2 linked regions of the Diceros bicornis minor genome follow. The protein of the gene in region 1 purifies or fractionates together with the protein of each later gene. This does not show direct contact. Links are inferred from orthologs where the notes say so. Each region holds a gene or a part of one and is shown on either strand. Other genes may lie near its edges.

Evidence for each region. Proteins that work in one complex are often made in the same cells at the same time.
Region 2: the proteins of RNF7 (region 1) and SPSB2 purify together in Homo sapiens (co-immunoprecipitation; 3 studies listed by BioGRID and IntAct, with this or other methods). This does not show direct contact. The link is inferred for Diceros bicornis minor from reciprocal best matches to the Homo sapiens genes RNF7 and SPSB2.

What each region holds. Positions count from the first base shown.
Region 1 is NC_080741.1:11,972,111-11,980,144, forward strand, and holds the start of RNF7 (RING-box protein 2), read right to left. Parts: upstream 3,121-8,034; 5' UTR 3,086-3,120; coding exon 2,911-3,085; intron 1-2,910. UniProt on the Homo sapiens protein: Catalytic component of multiple cullin-5-RING E3 ubiquitin-protein ligase complexes (ECS complexes), which mediate the ubiquitination and subsequent proteasomal degradation of target proteins.
Region 2 is NC_080756.1:54,870,651-54,878,417, reverse strand, and holds SPSB2 (SPRY domain-containing SOCS box protein 2), read right to left. Parts: upstream 3,087-7,767; 5' UTR 2,918-3,086; coding exon 2,903-2,917; intron 2,759-2,902; coding exon 2,002-2,758; intron 1,018-2,001; coding exon 890-1,017; 3' UTR 622-889; downstream 1-621. Other genes in the region: TPI1 (triosephosphate isomerase), read left to right, coding at 1-28. UniProt on the Homo sapiens protein: Substrate recognition component of a SCF-like ECS (Elongin BC-CUL2/5-SOCS-box protein) E3 ubiquitin-protein ligase complex which mediates the ubiquitination and subsequent proteasomal degradation of target proteins.

The sequences.
Region 1 (8,034 bases):
GTTCCCTTTACAAATAAGTCTGATCCCGAAGCCTTTACCCAACAATGGCTAAGTATTTTAATAAAGTACTTGGGAGTAAACACTAGGAATGAGAACCTAAAGGGTATACTATAAGTTTTCAAAATTCAATCTGTATTACTATTTGCTTGATGAAGGAGGTAACAGAATATTTCAGGGAGCTATGCAATAGATTCATTCACTAGCTGGAAGAGGAATCAAAGTTGGATAAAAGGAAGTTCAAACCAACAGAAAAAAATAGTTTTTAACATAAGTTGGAGAAAAATAATTAGGTAAAAGTAGAGCCACGGTGGAGCTGAAGCCTGCTTCTCCTCTTACCCTGGGTTCTGCTCAGGCATTTGTTTGCTTCTCTCTGCACGCCCTTACCCTAAAAAAACACACCACCCTGGCCTCTTCAGCATGGATGAAAAACAACCACTGCCTCCTGAGGCTTTCTTCAATTCCACAATTACTGAGTATCTATTCTATACAAGGAGTTATGCACTGGGACACCAAAATGGCCAAGTCTGGGTCCCTGGTCTCACCAGCATATGGGGAGGTGGACAGGCAAACAACTAAATAGCCTAAGGATCGTGATCTAACAGTGGAGACATGGCTGGTTCTGTGCAATCACAGAATTCGAGTTTGTGATCCCAACTGCCTCTTTTACAAATTAGGAAAACAAGCCTCCAAAAGGTTACGTCAAATGTCCAAGTTAACATGCAGCCATGTTGGTTACTCTGGCTCTTCAGAACTTGGCAGTGCTAGCAAACCCACTCCCCTCTTCCTCATCAGCACTTGCTCACTGTGCCCTCTGCTCCTTGCAGAACGAAGAGAGGAGAGTGGAAACGGAGGAAGAGAGCGTTAACCACATCAGAATGGGCTGACAGGTAAATCTTGGATCAAGAAGTCATAATAAATCATTTAGGTGTACGAGATGAATTCCAAATATTAAGGAAATGGGATTAAGTGGGCTCTTTCTGTAGAATCTAGAAATCCCTGAATGGTGCTTATGGCTTTGATTTAGATTCATTATCAAAAACTGACTTATATGGAAAAAATACCTAAAGTTTCAGATTAAGGAAAAAGCTTCTTTTGAGGATGTTTCTAATATCCAAAAGAGCACATTTCTAAGGAGTATAGTAACAGTAACACCTTTCAGAATGATGCTAGGGTAAGGGCTGGGGAGTCTGAAAAACAAACTTCCTTCTGCCGTCTGTCACCTGACCACTAAGTGGATTTTAACACCTCATAAACAAAATACAAAGGTCTAGTCCAGAATACTTTCCTGAACCCAAAGTACAGCTGTTGTCCACCTGCAACATTAATCCACAGTAGCAGAACACTTGCTATAATTAGAAAGTTAATGTGAATGTGAGCTATTGACAGCTCATATTTTGACTTACTTTAAATATCCCAGTAAAGTTTATTTGTTGCAAAATTTCAACCATTATTTTAAATTCCGCATTTCTACTTACTATTTTAAAATTTTTCTTTGGAGAGAAAAATAAACATTCTCGCAAGAGACCAAAAGATTAAGTCGCCTGGAAAAGCTAAAAATGCCACCCAAACTGGAAATTATGATTCTAGTTCTTAAGTAAGGGTTGGAGTAAAGGGGCTGTATTGCAGGCCAATAAAGAAGGTGCTTTTAAAACCTAATATGTAAAGTAAGTGGATCATGTTTCAAAGAAATCACGTTCTCTCAAAAGTAGAATAAAAATATTTGAATCCCATTGTTGTAAATTATTTCTGAAACAAGTCCTTATGAATAAAACACAAGAGAGCAAACTAAAGAGAGTGTAAATTGTGGAATCTCTTGATACTGGTAGGTTTAAAATTTCATCCCTCGAGAAGGGAGAGCAATTCTCTTCAAGCTATTTTCTCCAATTCTCTCATTTTTTAGGACAAGACACAAAGTTTAAAAACTACAGAAACCTCAGTTTTCTTCATCTGCCCTCAAGAAAAGGCATTTAGGATGCTCTCACTAGTTTTAAATGCCTTACTTCAAATTATAACTTGCATTTAAACAGCCCGTCTTTTCCAAGGTGATCTGAGATCTTAAAACAGAAACCATATACAACGTAACGAGATGAAGCTGTTCTGAAAGGTTTCCCTTGGTCCAATATTTTTATTCAAAATACCGTAGAAAGAAATAAAACTTATTTGTGAAACAGGGTTCTCCGTCAAGGACCGACGCCGAGCAGGGCAGTATCTTTCTCAGGAAAGATATGATGGGGAGAGGCCGGGAAGAAGTTTCGTGTTTCTAAATAAAGGGCTTCCATTCTTCAATTCCCAGGAAATTTAAACATTCTTGAATCACACTGTACCCCCTTAGCCGAGCGAGTGACATCTGCCGCGTCCTGAATCGTGCGGATTTAAAAGCCAGCAGAACAGCAGGAGCTAATCCAGAAATGCAGCGGCTGGGAAGGCTTTTGCTCCCCGCGCCTCGCAGGAGCGGAACCGAGGTGTGGTTTGCGGGAAGATGACTCGGGGGCATCGCCGGTGTGTGAGCAGAACCATCACCGAGCCCGGCTGACTCAAGGCCTTCACCCCGACCTCTCCGCGGTTTGCTTTCAGAAGGGGCTGCCGGGGCTGGCCACACAAACCGAAGTGGTTCCTCCCAGCTCCCACCAAGCCTCCCAGTTTTATCTTCTTGATCACACCCGTCACTACCTGAAATTATCCTGTTTAACTCCTCTGCCCACTGCCCGTTTCTCTCCACAGAACGCCAGCCCCCGGCGCCGGGCGCCTGTTGAAGCGCAGCCCCCAGGCGGCGGCCGCAGCCTCCCGTCCAGCGTGGTCCCCGGCCCGCTCGCGCCGGGGCAGGAGTCTCTCCGAGGCTTCGTCCGCCCCCCGCCAGGAGCCGGCTCCGCGGAGGCCGCAGCGCGGCCCGGGCCTCGTGTGAGCGCTTACCCATCACCTGGACCCTGCAGATGGCGCACGTATCGCACTCCACGTCCCAGCTCCACATGGCCACCGCGTTCCACTTCTTGAGAGAGAACATTTTGTCGCCTCCCGACTTGGAGCCTGCGCTCCCGGAGTGCGACGACAGGGCGCAGGGCTCCTCGCCGTCTTCCACGTCGGCCATGACGGCGGCGCGGAGCCGGCCGCCGAGACGTTGGGTCGCGGGAGGAGGGCGGCTATGGCGGCTCTGTGGGGCCGCCCGACGGGCCACAGCGCCGCCCGCAGGCCCGCGGGGCCTACGGCAGCGGCTGCCCGCGATTGGCTGGCGCGGCCTAGTGACGTCACCGCACGCCAGCGCCCGGCGCATCCCCGCCCCGCGCGCCGGGGCTGCCCGCAGGGCCTCCTGGCGGCTGCCGGCTGAAGGCCTGAGTCGCCCGCGTGCGGTGTCACTCTGGGGAGAGCGGGCGCACCCTGCGGGGAACGCGTGTCCTGCTTTATGCCTTCGGGAGACTTGCGGCTCTCAGAAATTATCTTGTTAATGTATTCGTTTGCCTCGTCCCTCCCAAATGTAAACTCCATCAGAGCAGCGACCTTGTCTTTATCACTTCCTTATCCTCAGTATCTAAAAAATGCCTTGCCTCACGGGACGCAATTATTTGAGTGAATGTTCTAGAAATCTGGTTGAATGGTTCTCGAACTTTTTGGTCTCAGGACCCCTTAACACTTAAAAATTCTTAGGACCTTAAAGAGTTTTTGTTTATGTAGGATATATATTTAATTTAAAGGAAAATGTAAAATGGGGGAAAAATTTTAAATGTACTCATTCATTTAAAAATAACAGAAATAAACCAATTACAAATTAGCATTAGAGCAGTAACATCACATATCATGTACCTTCTGGAAAACACTATATTCATGAGTGAGAGTGAGAAGAGAGACAGCTCTGAATATTGTTATGCAAATAGTTTTGATTTCATTGGTCCCTTGAAGGAGGGATCTCAGGAACCCTGGGGAGCACACTCTGAGAACCTCTGGTCTAGTTTAACCTCCTCCTTTTATGTGTAGGAGTAATGGGGTCCAGAAAAGTGAGTAACTTAAAGAGCACATTGCTATTAGGTGAAGGTTACAGTTTTGAGGCCAGGGTTCTTCTATTCCTAGCCCGGGGTAATATTACCTATTATATTTTCCCAAGCAAAGCAGACAGCATCTCCATTTAAAAGATAAGAAAACTGACGCACAGAGAGCCTAAGGAGATGCCTGATTACCACCACCACCTAGTGGTGGACACCTGCTGTGTCAGGTTTGGAATTCAGAGCCTCCCACCTCTTCTTGCTGGGCCTCATCATCCCCTCATCTCTTGATGCCAGGCCTTGTGCCTGGAGGTGCTAACCAGGCTCAAGGAGCCTGGCAGAGGAGACAAGGATGCATAAATGTGTTGTTGTTATTAGTGCTGTGGAGTCAATTCTGACTCCTAGTGACACTGTGTACAGCAGAGGGGAACCCTGCCTGGTCTTTTGCGCCATCCTCTCACCTTCCAGCGCTATATCAGACAATGCTCTGCTGCTATTCACAGGGTTTTCATGGCCAGTTTTTTCGTAAGTGGGTGGCAAGGTCCTTCTTCCTAGCATAAATGTGTAAAAATACAAATATGGACACAGGGTCACATTTGACGAGATGATAATGTGTGCTGTTTGTTGAGTGGTGTGTTCAGTGCTGTGAGGGACAGAGACATTGCTGAGAACTGACACAGTGAGCAAAAGCCTCAAGGAAGAGGTGAAGTTTGAACTGCGGGGAGGTGAGAGGCCCTGGAGGCCAGGAAACGAGTGAAGAAAGCAAACCTCTACGAGCTGTCAGCCTGTGCAGAGCAGTGGTAATGGTGGCAGATGTGAATCTGACCACACTAACTTTGTGAGCCAGACAAAAACGCCTATAAACAAACCCAGATGAACCATACAAAACACACATTTTATTCATATTAAGTGACCACACATCTGACTAGAGATGGCTCTACATGCTAGATAGCTCATACAAAAAGAAGGCTGGAACCAGATGAGGATAAAATGCACCCAGCTGGTGGGAACTGGGCAGTTTGAAATAGAAAAGGAGGGAAACTCAGATGAAAGGATGAAAGACTAGAGGATGGTTAAGGAGGAGAAATGGTACATGGCTGGGCCGAGTCTGAGCCTCATCACCCTGCCCCTGGATTATTGTGTCCTGACTTCCTTCCTGTCTCTCCCCCGCAGTCTAACTGGCTTTCAATCTAACGTGCCTGTTTAATTTTCCTATATCCCATTTTCCACCTGGCACTCTCCTGCTCAGAACATTCCACAGCCCCACGTTATTGTCAGAAAAAAATCTAAATGACCCAGTTGGTCATTTAAATCCTGCCACAATATGGCCCCAACCCTACTTTTCTAGCGTCTTCCCCAAGCACCGCTATCCAAGACCCTCATCAAATTGGTCTGCTCAGTCATCCAAACACACCCTGCGGTCTTTTTTTTTTTTCCCCTCACATTTTAACATTTCTGAAATTGCCCTCTGCATTTAGGAAAACTTACACACCTTTGTGTCCTCACCGACCACTCTTTGCCACCATTTATTCATATCCTTCCATGAAATAATAGCACTTACTGTGTCTCTTTTACTCTTTGGCACCAGGTCACATAGCAACCAAAAAATGCTGTTACTGCTGTTTATTGAACAATTTTAAGTTTTTAAAATTGAGAGCTCATAAATGATAAAAACATTAAAATAGTAAAATGGGTATACAATGAAAAAAAGCAAGTACTGTTAATAGACTCTCCAGAAATTCCTATATATGTGCAAGCAGACACTTAATACATCAGCTCATTTTTAAAATTTTTAATTGTGGTAAAATACACATAACATAAAGTCTACCATCCTGACCATTTTTAAGTGTACAGTTCAATGGTATTAAGTACATTCACACTGTTATGCAATCAATCTCCAGAACTTTTTCATCTTCCAAAACTGAAACTCCATACCCATTAAACAACTCTCCATTTCCCTCTCCTCCCCCTGGCATCCACCATTCTACTTTCTGTTTCTCAGTTTGACTACTTTAAATATCCCATATAAGCGGAATCATACAGTATTTGTCTTTTTGTGACTGGTTTATTTCACTTAGCATAATGTCCTCAAGGTTCATCCATGTAGCATATGTCAGAATTTCCTTCCTTTTTAAAGCTGAATAATATTCCATTGTGTGTATATACCATATTTTCCTTATCCATTCATTTAGGTTGCTTCCACCTTTGACTATTGTGAATAACGCTGCTATGAACATGGGTGTACAAATATCTCTTCATGATCCTGCTTTCAATTCTTTTGTGTATATACTCAGAAGTGAAATTGCAGGCCGGCCCCGTGGCTTAGCGGTTAAGCATGCGCTCCACTACTGGCGGCCCGGGTTCGGATCCCGGGCGCGCACCAACGCACCGCTTCTCCGGCCATGCTGAGGCAGCGTCCCACATACAGCAACTAGAAGGACGTGCAACTATGACATACAACTATCTACTGGGGCTTTGGGGCAAAAAAAGGAGGAAGGTTGGCAATAGATGTTAGCTCAGAGCCGGTCTTCCTCAGCAAAAAGAGGAGGATTAGCATGGATGTTAGCTCAGGGCTGATCTTCCTCACAAAAAAAAAAAAGAAGAAGTGAAATTTCTGGCTCATATTACATCAATTCACTTTTAATATGAATTTTTCACATGTACTATTCTCTAGCCTGCTCTTTTTGTTTAATAGTATTACTTTACCTTTCCATATAAGTATTTACATATCTACATTATTCCTCTTGATGGCTGCATAGTATTCCACTACATATATTTTCTGTGATTTATTTCCCTGAGTATCCTCTGAGAGACATTTAGTTGTTTCCAGTGTATAATAAACAGTGCTGCTGTGAACATCCTTATGTATATTTCTTTGCACAGGTGTGAGAGTATATCTGTAAAATAAATTTCTAGAAGTAGAATATCTGGGTCAAAAGCTATGTATTTTTCATTTTGATAGACATTGCGAAAAGACCCCTAAAGAGGCATATAGATTTTACACTCTCATCCAGTAGATGTCAGTGGCAAATTTCAATTTTTTTGGGGGAGTGGAGGGAGGAAGATTGGCCCTGAGTTAACACCTGTGCCCATTTTTTATGTGGGATGCTGCCACAGCATGGCTTGATGAGCGGTGTGTAGGTCCACGCCTGGGTTCCAAACCTGCGAACCCCAGGCCACCAAGCAGGGTGTGTGAACTTAACCAATATGCCATGGGGCTGGCCCCTCAATTTTTTTTTTTAAATCAGGAATAATTTCTCAGGAGGCCTCACACAATGGATATTTAAGTTCTGGAGATTTGTTAAATTGATCTCACTACTCTATAACCTTCCTTACCCTGGTTAATGACATATTATTTCAACTCTTATGCTCCATTGTTGTTTACTTTTAATGTATGAGGATCTTGTCTTCCTTGCTAGATGCTAAGATCCTCAAGAGGAGACATAATTTATTCCACAGTTGGTTTGGTTCCACGAACTTGCCAGCACTTGTTACACCTGTACATAGAATGAATGTTTGTTTTTTTTTAACTTCAAAATGCAGAGGTCTTAAGTCTCCCTTTTTTTATTCTTTTCTATTTTTCTTATGTAGCTGTCCTAAGTGAAATAACTGGAATCACTCAATTCTAACATCAACAATAATAACAGCAGTAGTAAGAGCCACTAACATTCATTTGAGAGCATGTACTAAGAAACAAGTATTGTCCTAAGATGCTTGCCACGTGTCCTCTCATTTAATGTTCACCAAATGAGATAGATGCTTTTTTTTTTTTTTTTTTTTTTTTTGGTGAGGAAGATCAGCCCTGAGCTAACATCTGCCAATCCTCCTCTTTTTGCTGAGGAAGACTGGCCCTGGGCTAATATCCATGCCCATCTCCCTCCACTTTATATGGGACGCCGCCACAGCATGGCTTGACAAGCGGTGAGTCGGTGTGCGCCCGGGATCCAAACCAGCGACCCCCGGGCGGCCGCAGCAGAGTGGGCACACTTAACCACTTGCGCCACCAGGCCGGCCCTCCATAGATGGTATTCTTGTCTGTATCTTACATAAAGGGAAACTGAAG
Region 2 (7,767 bases), on another chromosome or scaffold:
CGTGGACATCATCAATGCCAAACAATAAGCCCCATCCATCTCCCCTGCCCGTCCTGCTAAGCCAGGGACTAGGTAGCTCAGAAGCCCAATAATTGCATCCCCAGCTCCACCCCCCCACACACATGCTTCTGGTCGTGTCACCTGCCCCCTCTCCTGGCCTAATCCAAACTGTACCTCTTCCTTTACTGTTTACACCTTACCCTATAATGGTTGGGACCAGGCCAATCCCTTCTCCACTTACTGTAATAGTTGGAACTAAATATGTCACCAAGGTGGCTTCTCCTTGGCTGAGAGGTGGAAGGGGTAGAGTTTGCTCTTGGGTCCCCTCAGTCCCCAGTGAGGGAGGAGAAAGAAGCCATCCTCCTCTCCCATCTCACACCATGAGGCCAAGGGCTGAGAGACAGCCCGGTCCTCCCCTCCAAGGCCAGGGGTGCTGCTCTCTCCCTTGGTGCCAACGCCTGTGTGTGTTGTGTATGTGAGCAGTCCCACGTGTGGGGGAAATAAACAGCTGGAAGTAAGCCTTGTTGTTTGTCCTTCTTCACAATACTTGCCCATATCATCTCTCTCTCTCTTTTTTGAGGCAGCCAGAGGACCCTTGTGCAAAAAAATACCACGAACAGGTTTCCGCAACAGCACATCTCTTAGCATTTTTACTTGAAAAAATGTCTTTCGTACCAGGCTGCCACAGCCTTGAATAACAGCTCCTCCCTTCCACCCCGCCTCTGGGTGGCTCTGGGGCTGTTGAGCTCCCCGGAGCTTGGGTTGGGGTAGGGGCCCAGCCTCACCTCCCCCACCCTCACTGGCTTGACATAGCTGGTCTAGGCCAGCAGTGCCTCCTTCCCCCCACCCAGGGGAGAGGGGTGTCAAGGCCCCAGCGCAGTCTGTGGTATCACTGGTAGAGCAGGTAGCGCTTCATGGCAGGGGGCAAGGGCAGAGCAGATACCTGGCTAAGCCGGGTATCTCCCAGGGCGTGGCGCACACACAGGCGGCTCAGGTGCAGAAGGGAGTGTGGCTCCGCTGGGAGAAAGAAGGAGAGGAAGTTAGGTAGGAGTGCAGCCACCAGCCAGATATCCTCAAACTACTGGGTCCTGCCCAGGTTCCCTTCTGCTTTCCTGCTCCGAGTCTGCTCCCACCTTGCTTGAAAGGGAGATCTAAGGCACCTCTATCTGCTCTTGGGGTGAGAGGCATCTCAGAATTCATACATCCCCAGTCAGAGCTGGGGTGCTATAGCTAAGGCCCAAGGTGGCTCTGATGACGGTGGAGCTGGCCCAGGCTTTGATTCCAGAGAGGCCTTGAAGCCAGGGATGATGAGGTGAGAGGAAGGATTGCCCTCCTCTGCTCTCGAATAGCTCACATGGGTGACAGGAGGAGAGGCATCCTTGTTCTGCTGAAGACTGCAACTGCAGAGAATGTTCAGTTCAATCAGCCCCAAGCCCTGGCCCCTTCAGTTGCCAAGGAGACCCTTCCCCTGCAGCCCCACCCCCAGACTCGGCCTCCTTCACTGCTCCCTTCCTGGTGCCCAGGGCCTCAATGGATCCTTCCTGGGGTTTGACTGAGGAAGGAAGTAGGTATGTGTCACAGACAGGTCAGAGCCCAGAGACGCTGGTCCACACCCTGGGTGCCTGGCACTCCCAGTCCTCTTTCTATTGGACTTGGACACCTAGCTCAGTACCCATCTACCCTTTGCACCTCTTGCTCCAGGGGCTGATATCGCCTGTAAGGCCCTAACTCTGAATCCCTGGAGTGTCTCCCTCCAGTCTGAGGGATCACCACTTACTAGCAAGTTGCTTTCTCAAGCCTCACTTTTACCTCTATTGCTTTTGGGAGGATTACATCAGGTAACAGCTGTGAAGACCCTTAGCCATTTCTGGCACTGAATAGGGGCAGGAGGCAGGTGAGATGAAGGCCCATTCCCTCTGTTCTTGTAAGGCGCTGAGCTGCCATCCCAAAACACAGCCACCAGTGATAGAACCCTCTCCCCACACCTGCCCCAAGCCTCACCTCTCCTTTCGCCCAGGTAGCTGATGCGGACCTGGCACTGGCCCCAGACAGCGCTTACTGCCGGATAGAGGGTCCGGCCCTTCAGTCCGCGGAAAGCTGGCCCCAGGTAGGTGCCCCCAATTGCGTAGCCCAGAGTTCCCTCCTCCATGTCCAGAACTACCAGCAGCCTCTCCGGCACCTCCAGCTGCTCACCCTGAGGTCCGGCTGGATACTGGGGGGCCCCGGGCCCCTTGCTCTGATGGTACAGCTTCCCCCGGCCAATGTCCCAGCCCCAGGACTCGCTGTTGCTGCCCAGCAGCGCCGCATAGTGGTCAGCCTGCAGCGGGGCGAGGGCTGTGGCCACGCCCACCACGGCGTGGGTGCCCCTCTGCTCGCGGGGCCAGCAGATCTCCCAGGCATGCAGGCCCCTCGAGTAGCCTCTCTTACCCCGGGCCCCATCAGTGCTCTGGGCCACGGGCCGCCGCTCAAAGCACAACCCCCCTTCCTTGACCTCGATGTTCTCTGAGCAGTCCTTGGGGTTCCAGCCGTGGCGCCGTTGGGCCCCCAGGTCAGGAGGAGGCGCAGACAGCAGCTCCTCCAAGCCCTCTGGACAAGAGAGGTCAGGGTACAGGGCCTGTGGGGTGGGGGTGCTGCTGCTGCTGCTGCTGCCCCCTGCCAGGGCCGTCTGGCCCATGGAGGTGAGTAGCCGGAGGACTCCCCGAAAGAGTCTTGCTGGGGCGTCTCTCTTCTGAAAGTTGAGCTCCCGTTCGGGATTGACCTGGAGAGGAGTTGGAGAGGAGGAGGGTGTGAAGTGCGGGATCCTGGAGGGGGTTCCTCACCCAGGCGCTCCATCCTCCCATCCATGTTTGCCCATCGCCCCTCTCTTCCCCCTTCGCTTCCCAAAAGCTCCCAGGCCCATCACCTTGTCCTCACCCATCTGTCCCGGTCTCCCTAGACTCTCGCGAGTTCTCCTCCTTTGGGCCTCTCCGGGGGCCGTCACCCTTGCCTGCACCGTGCCCCCGTCACGGTCCCCGAACCTCGCTTGGCTTCCCAGGCCGGGAGGTCGCCGGGCCTCGGGAGGAGCCCAGTCGACAGCCACGGCGCACCGGGCGCTGATCGCCGGCCGCTTCCGCCTCCAGCACCTCCCCCAGGCCCCGCCCCGCCCGACGTCCCGCCCCCAAGGGGGCACCAGGGGCGGTTAACCCTCCCGTCGCCGCCCCAGGTCGCGCCCGGCCCCGAGGCCACGCCCCCGTAAAGCCCACTTCTGGCGGTTAACCTCTGGTCACCGCCCCACGCGAGGAGGCTCTCCCGGGCGGTTAACCCTTCTCCGGCCGCTACAGAGTCCGCACCCGGGCAGTCCAGGCTCCGAATTAACCCTTTGATAGTATCATCGTTTTGGGATCCCTGGAGGTCTGTTCTCCATCGTCAAGACCTTTGAGCAGCCTGGCTACCAACTCCTCAGCCCCTAGAGATGAGGGGCATGGGGTCTAGGAGGGGCTTCCATAGTGTTGACATCTGTTTCCACGGCCCTTTGATTCTGGGTCACTGTTTCTGGGCTGGTCTCTTTCTAGCCCAGTTGTGAGTCAGCCTGTTGTATGTCTGAGGTTTGGAACTCTGTGCTTTGAGCCTAGGTGTCATAGGTCTCCATTGCTGTTCTAGTCTTCATCCTGGACGTCAATCCATTCCTGAGCTGTTGGTTTCACTTGGTAGTGCAGTGGTTAAGACCTTGGTTGTGAGTGAAGCTATGCTACTAATTAGCTGTGTGACCTTGGGGAGGTTGCCAAACTTCTCTAAACCTGTTTTCTCTTATGTAAAATGGGAATGATGATGGTACTTACCTCATAGGGTTGTTGTGGAGTTGAAATAATTCAGGTAAAGCACTTAGCACAGAGCCTGGTACATAGAATGCACTCACTAAGCATAGCTATTATCGTTTACCTAACATTTACTAAGTGCCCACTCTATAGAAAGGCCATATGATATAGTGGTGAAAGATGCTAACTGTGGAGCCAGGCTGACTGAGTGTGACTACTCCAAGGCCAGTATGCACGTGACCTTGGGCAAATTACTGAACCTCCCTGGTGCCTGTTTCTTCCTCTGTAAAATGGAGATACTATTGGGTATCTACTGCATGGGGTGTAGTGAGGGTTCTGTGAGGTTATATATACATAAAGCACTTAGTTTCCGGTTCAAATTTAATCATTTGTGTTAAGCACTGAAGATTAAGCATTGAATCCTCAAAGAAGTTAGAAGGACATTTATAAAACAGCTTATCATGTAGTAGATGAAATTATGGAGATATCATGAAAGTATTATGGGAGTAAAAAGAATGGGACTTCTAATAGGGGGTCAAGCAGTTAGGAAAGAAAAATGTCCTGGAGGAGATGACACTGGGCTGAATCTTAAAGATTGACTAGAAATTGGTCTGAGAAGTGGTTCTGCAGCTTGGGGGTTGGGTTAGGGTTGCTGCATGTAGAAGGCATTCCAGACAGAGGGGTCAGCATGAAAAAAGCCGGAATCAGTAGGTGGGTTTGGGGAAATTCAAAGACTTCAGGGTTGCTGCAACGGGAAAGGAAGCAGGAGAGACAAGCCTAGAGAAGTCAGTGCCAGATCTTGAGGCCTTGCAGGCCAGTTAAGGAATGCAAATATCTTGTAGGACAGGCCAGTAATGGGGAGCCACATATATCTTCTTCTACAGATAGAAGCAGGAGAGGAACATGGTCAGACACTCATTTTAGAAAAACCTCCCTGGCAGCAATGTAGAGGAGGTTTCCAGGGAAATAGGACTGGAAGCAAGGAGACTGGTTCCAGCAGACCAGGTGACAAGTGTCAAAAGCCTGAAATAGGGAAGTGGAAAGAAGATGAAAAGAATTCAAGAAACACTGATAAAACTGCAAGATTTGGTGACTACTTGGATGCTGAGGCAGGGAAAGGAAAGAGAATAAGGGAGGTTTCTAGCCTGGAAGACTCTCTTGGAAGGTGGTAGCACTAATGAAGATGGAGATGACAGAAAGAGGAGCAACAGGGGCAGGAGGGTGGGAGAGAGGTGGTGAGTTCAGTTTAGGACGTGTTTTTTGAGGTGCCTGAGCAACAACCAGATGGAACCATCTAGAACACACTTGAAAATAGCAGGTCTGGAGGGGGAGTGAGAGGCCTGGGCTGGAGATATAAATCTGTGAGCTGCGTCAGCCTGTAGTCAGGAGTTGAACTATGAGAATCAATGAGGGAACCCAGAGAGAGTGTGTAGAGTGAGAAGAGGGTCAGGGAGGATACAGTGCAGCAGAAAATTCAGGTTTGATTACTTACAAAATTTTTTTTTGTCGTCGGCAACTTTGGTGAGAGAGCACATGTGGGTTGTGGAAGGTGGGAGTCTGGCTGAACTGGCACTTTCTGTGTGTCAGGCACTGTGCTACAAGCTTCACATTTTTAGGGGATAGAGAGTCAGAGAGGTTAGGTGACAATTATGTCTCATAGTCAAAATTACCCTTGAAAATCCCTTCTTACCCCATCTATTAGGTACAGCATATGTTAGTTTTGTGTAAAATACAGTATGTGGCAGTATGTATACAATGATGTACAGAATAAAATTTTATAATATTTTAAGAGAAAGAAGAAAGCATATTAAAAAGAAAGATATGAGGGCCAGCCCCGTGGCTTAGCGGTTAAGTGCGCGCTCCGCTACTGGTGGCCCGGGTTCGGATCCCGGGCATGCACCGACGCACTGCTTCTCCGGCCATGCTGAGGCCGCGTCCCACATACAGCAACTAGAAGGATGTGTAACTCTGACATACAACTATCTACTGGGGCTTTGGGGGAAAAAAAAATGGAGGAGGATTGGCAATAGATGTTAGCTCAGAGCCCGTCTTCCTCAGCAAAAAGAGGAGGATTAGCATGGATGTTAGCTCAGGGCTGATCTTCCTCGAAAAAAAAAAAAGATATGAACCTGAACACTTGTCATCCACCCAACCTGGATCGTCTTGCCAGTGTGACGACAAAAATAATGACACTATGACTGTGAGTAGCAGCCTATTGTGAATATTAGTGCAGGACCTGTGTGATAAGCGAGTGGATGAAGGCTTAGGGGACAGAGAGCGAGCATACGCCATGGCTGACTCTAGTTCATCTTGAGAAGTTGACCGTACCTGCTCAGCTGCTGGTTGTTTAAAGCATGGTATTCACAAATTGTTGCACTGATCTTGAACTGCTCAAACATTCGTTGATAATAGCTCAAATATTCATAATGCTACAAGTAATTTTAATATTTTACTTTTTTATCGAGATATAACATAAAGTATATTAATCTTAAATTGCTCAATGAGTTTTTACATATTACAAAAATATTTACACATGCTGTGTGACCACCACCACGAAGATCAAGATCAAGAACATTTCCAGCATCCCAGAAGGTTCCTTCTTACCCTTTCCCTGACACTACACCCCTAAAGGTAACTCCCATTTGACCTCTATCAGTATAGATTAGCTTTGTTTCTTCTTTGATTTCATATAAATGAAACCATATGGTATATATTCTTTTGTGTCTGACTTATTTTTCTCAACATTATGTCTGTGCGAGTCATCCATGTTGTTGCATGAAATAGAATGCATTATTTTCATCGTTTTACAGTATTTCAGTGTATGGATATACCACAATTTATCTATTCTACTATTGATAGACATTTGATTTGTTTCCAGTTTTTAGCTGTTATAGAGAAGGCTGCTGTGTACAGTATTGTACAAGTCTTTTGGTGGACCTAGGCACTCATTTTTGTTGGGTATATACTTATGTGCAGAATGGCTGGGTTATAAGGAATCACAATGTACAGATTTAACCACATGTAATTTTGAGGTTTCTCTCCATAGAGGGATTTTATTCAGAAATTAAATCATTCAGGAGCTGGCCCCGTGGTGTAGCGGTTAAGTGCGTGTGCTCGGCTGCTGGCAGCCCAGGTTCGGATCCTGGGCGCGCACCGACACACTGCTGGTCAGGCCATGCTGTGGCAGCATCCCACATAAAGTGGAGGAAGATAGGCACGGATGTTAGTCCAGGGCCAGTCTTCCTCAGCAAAAAGAGGAGGATTGGCATGGATGTTAGCTCAGGGCTGATCTTCCTCACAAAAAAAAACAAAAAAGGAATCATTCAGGTATTTTGTAGCATGGAGCACTTGAACATATTTATAAAGATGTGAACTGGTCTTCTCTTCCTGTTCATCATATCTTTGTCTTCTGGGGATGATTTTATCAGTTCCTCAAGCTTTTTATTAGCGTTTCTCTGTGGCTCTCAAGAAGTTCTTCAATTTCTTCCACAAAGCCAACATGATCCACTTGCTAGGCCACTTGAACAGTGAGTTTCACTTCTTTGTCAATAGAAAACCCTTAAAGTCCTAAACACATTCTTCCCAACATGCATTGACAGTTTTAGGCTTGATTGTTTCCATGCCTGTTTAATATAAATAATGCAACTGGCAATACCCAAGAATTTCCAACTCTTCCAACTCATTACCACATTAAGACTAGGGTCAGCATTCACGGCTCTGAGAGTCAAAGAGGAATCTCAGCCTCATGTATGTGGCTTTGAAACAGCAAAGCATGCTTAGATCAGCAGAGTGAAGGATAGGGGTGATGTTGGGGGGAAGACGACTTCCATGTCTTTATGAGCACACTCATAAAGTGTGTGGTACCTCGGAGGGGTACTGCTGTGTGTGATCAGCAACACTAAAGCCAAGGCCTTTCTCTCTCAGGTCCTACTTCTAGAATGTGGAACTATAAAACCAAATCAGGAAAGGTGTT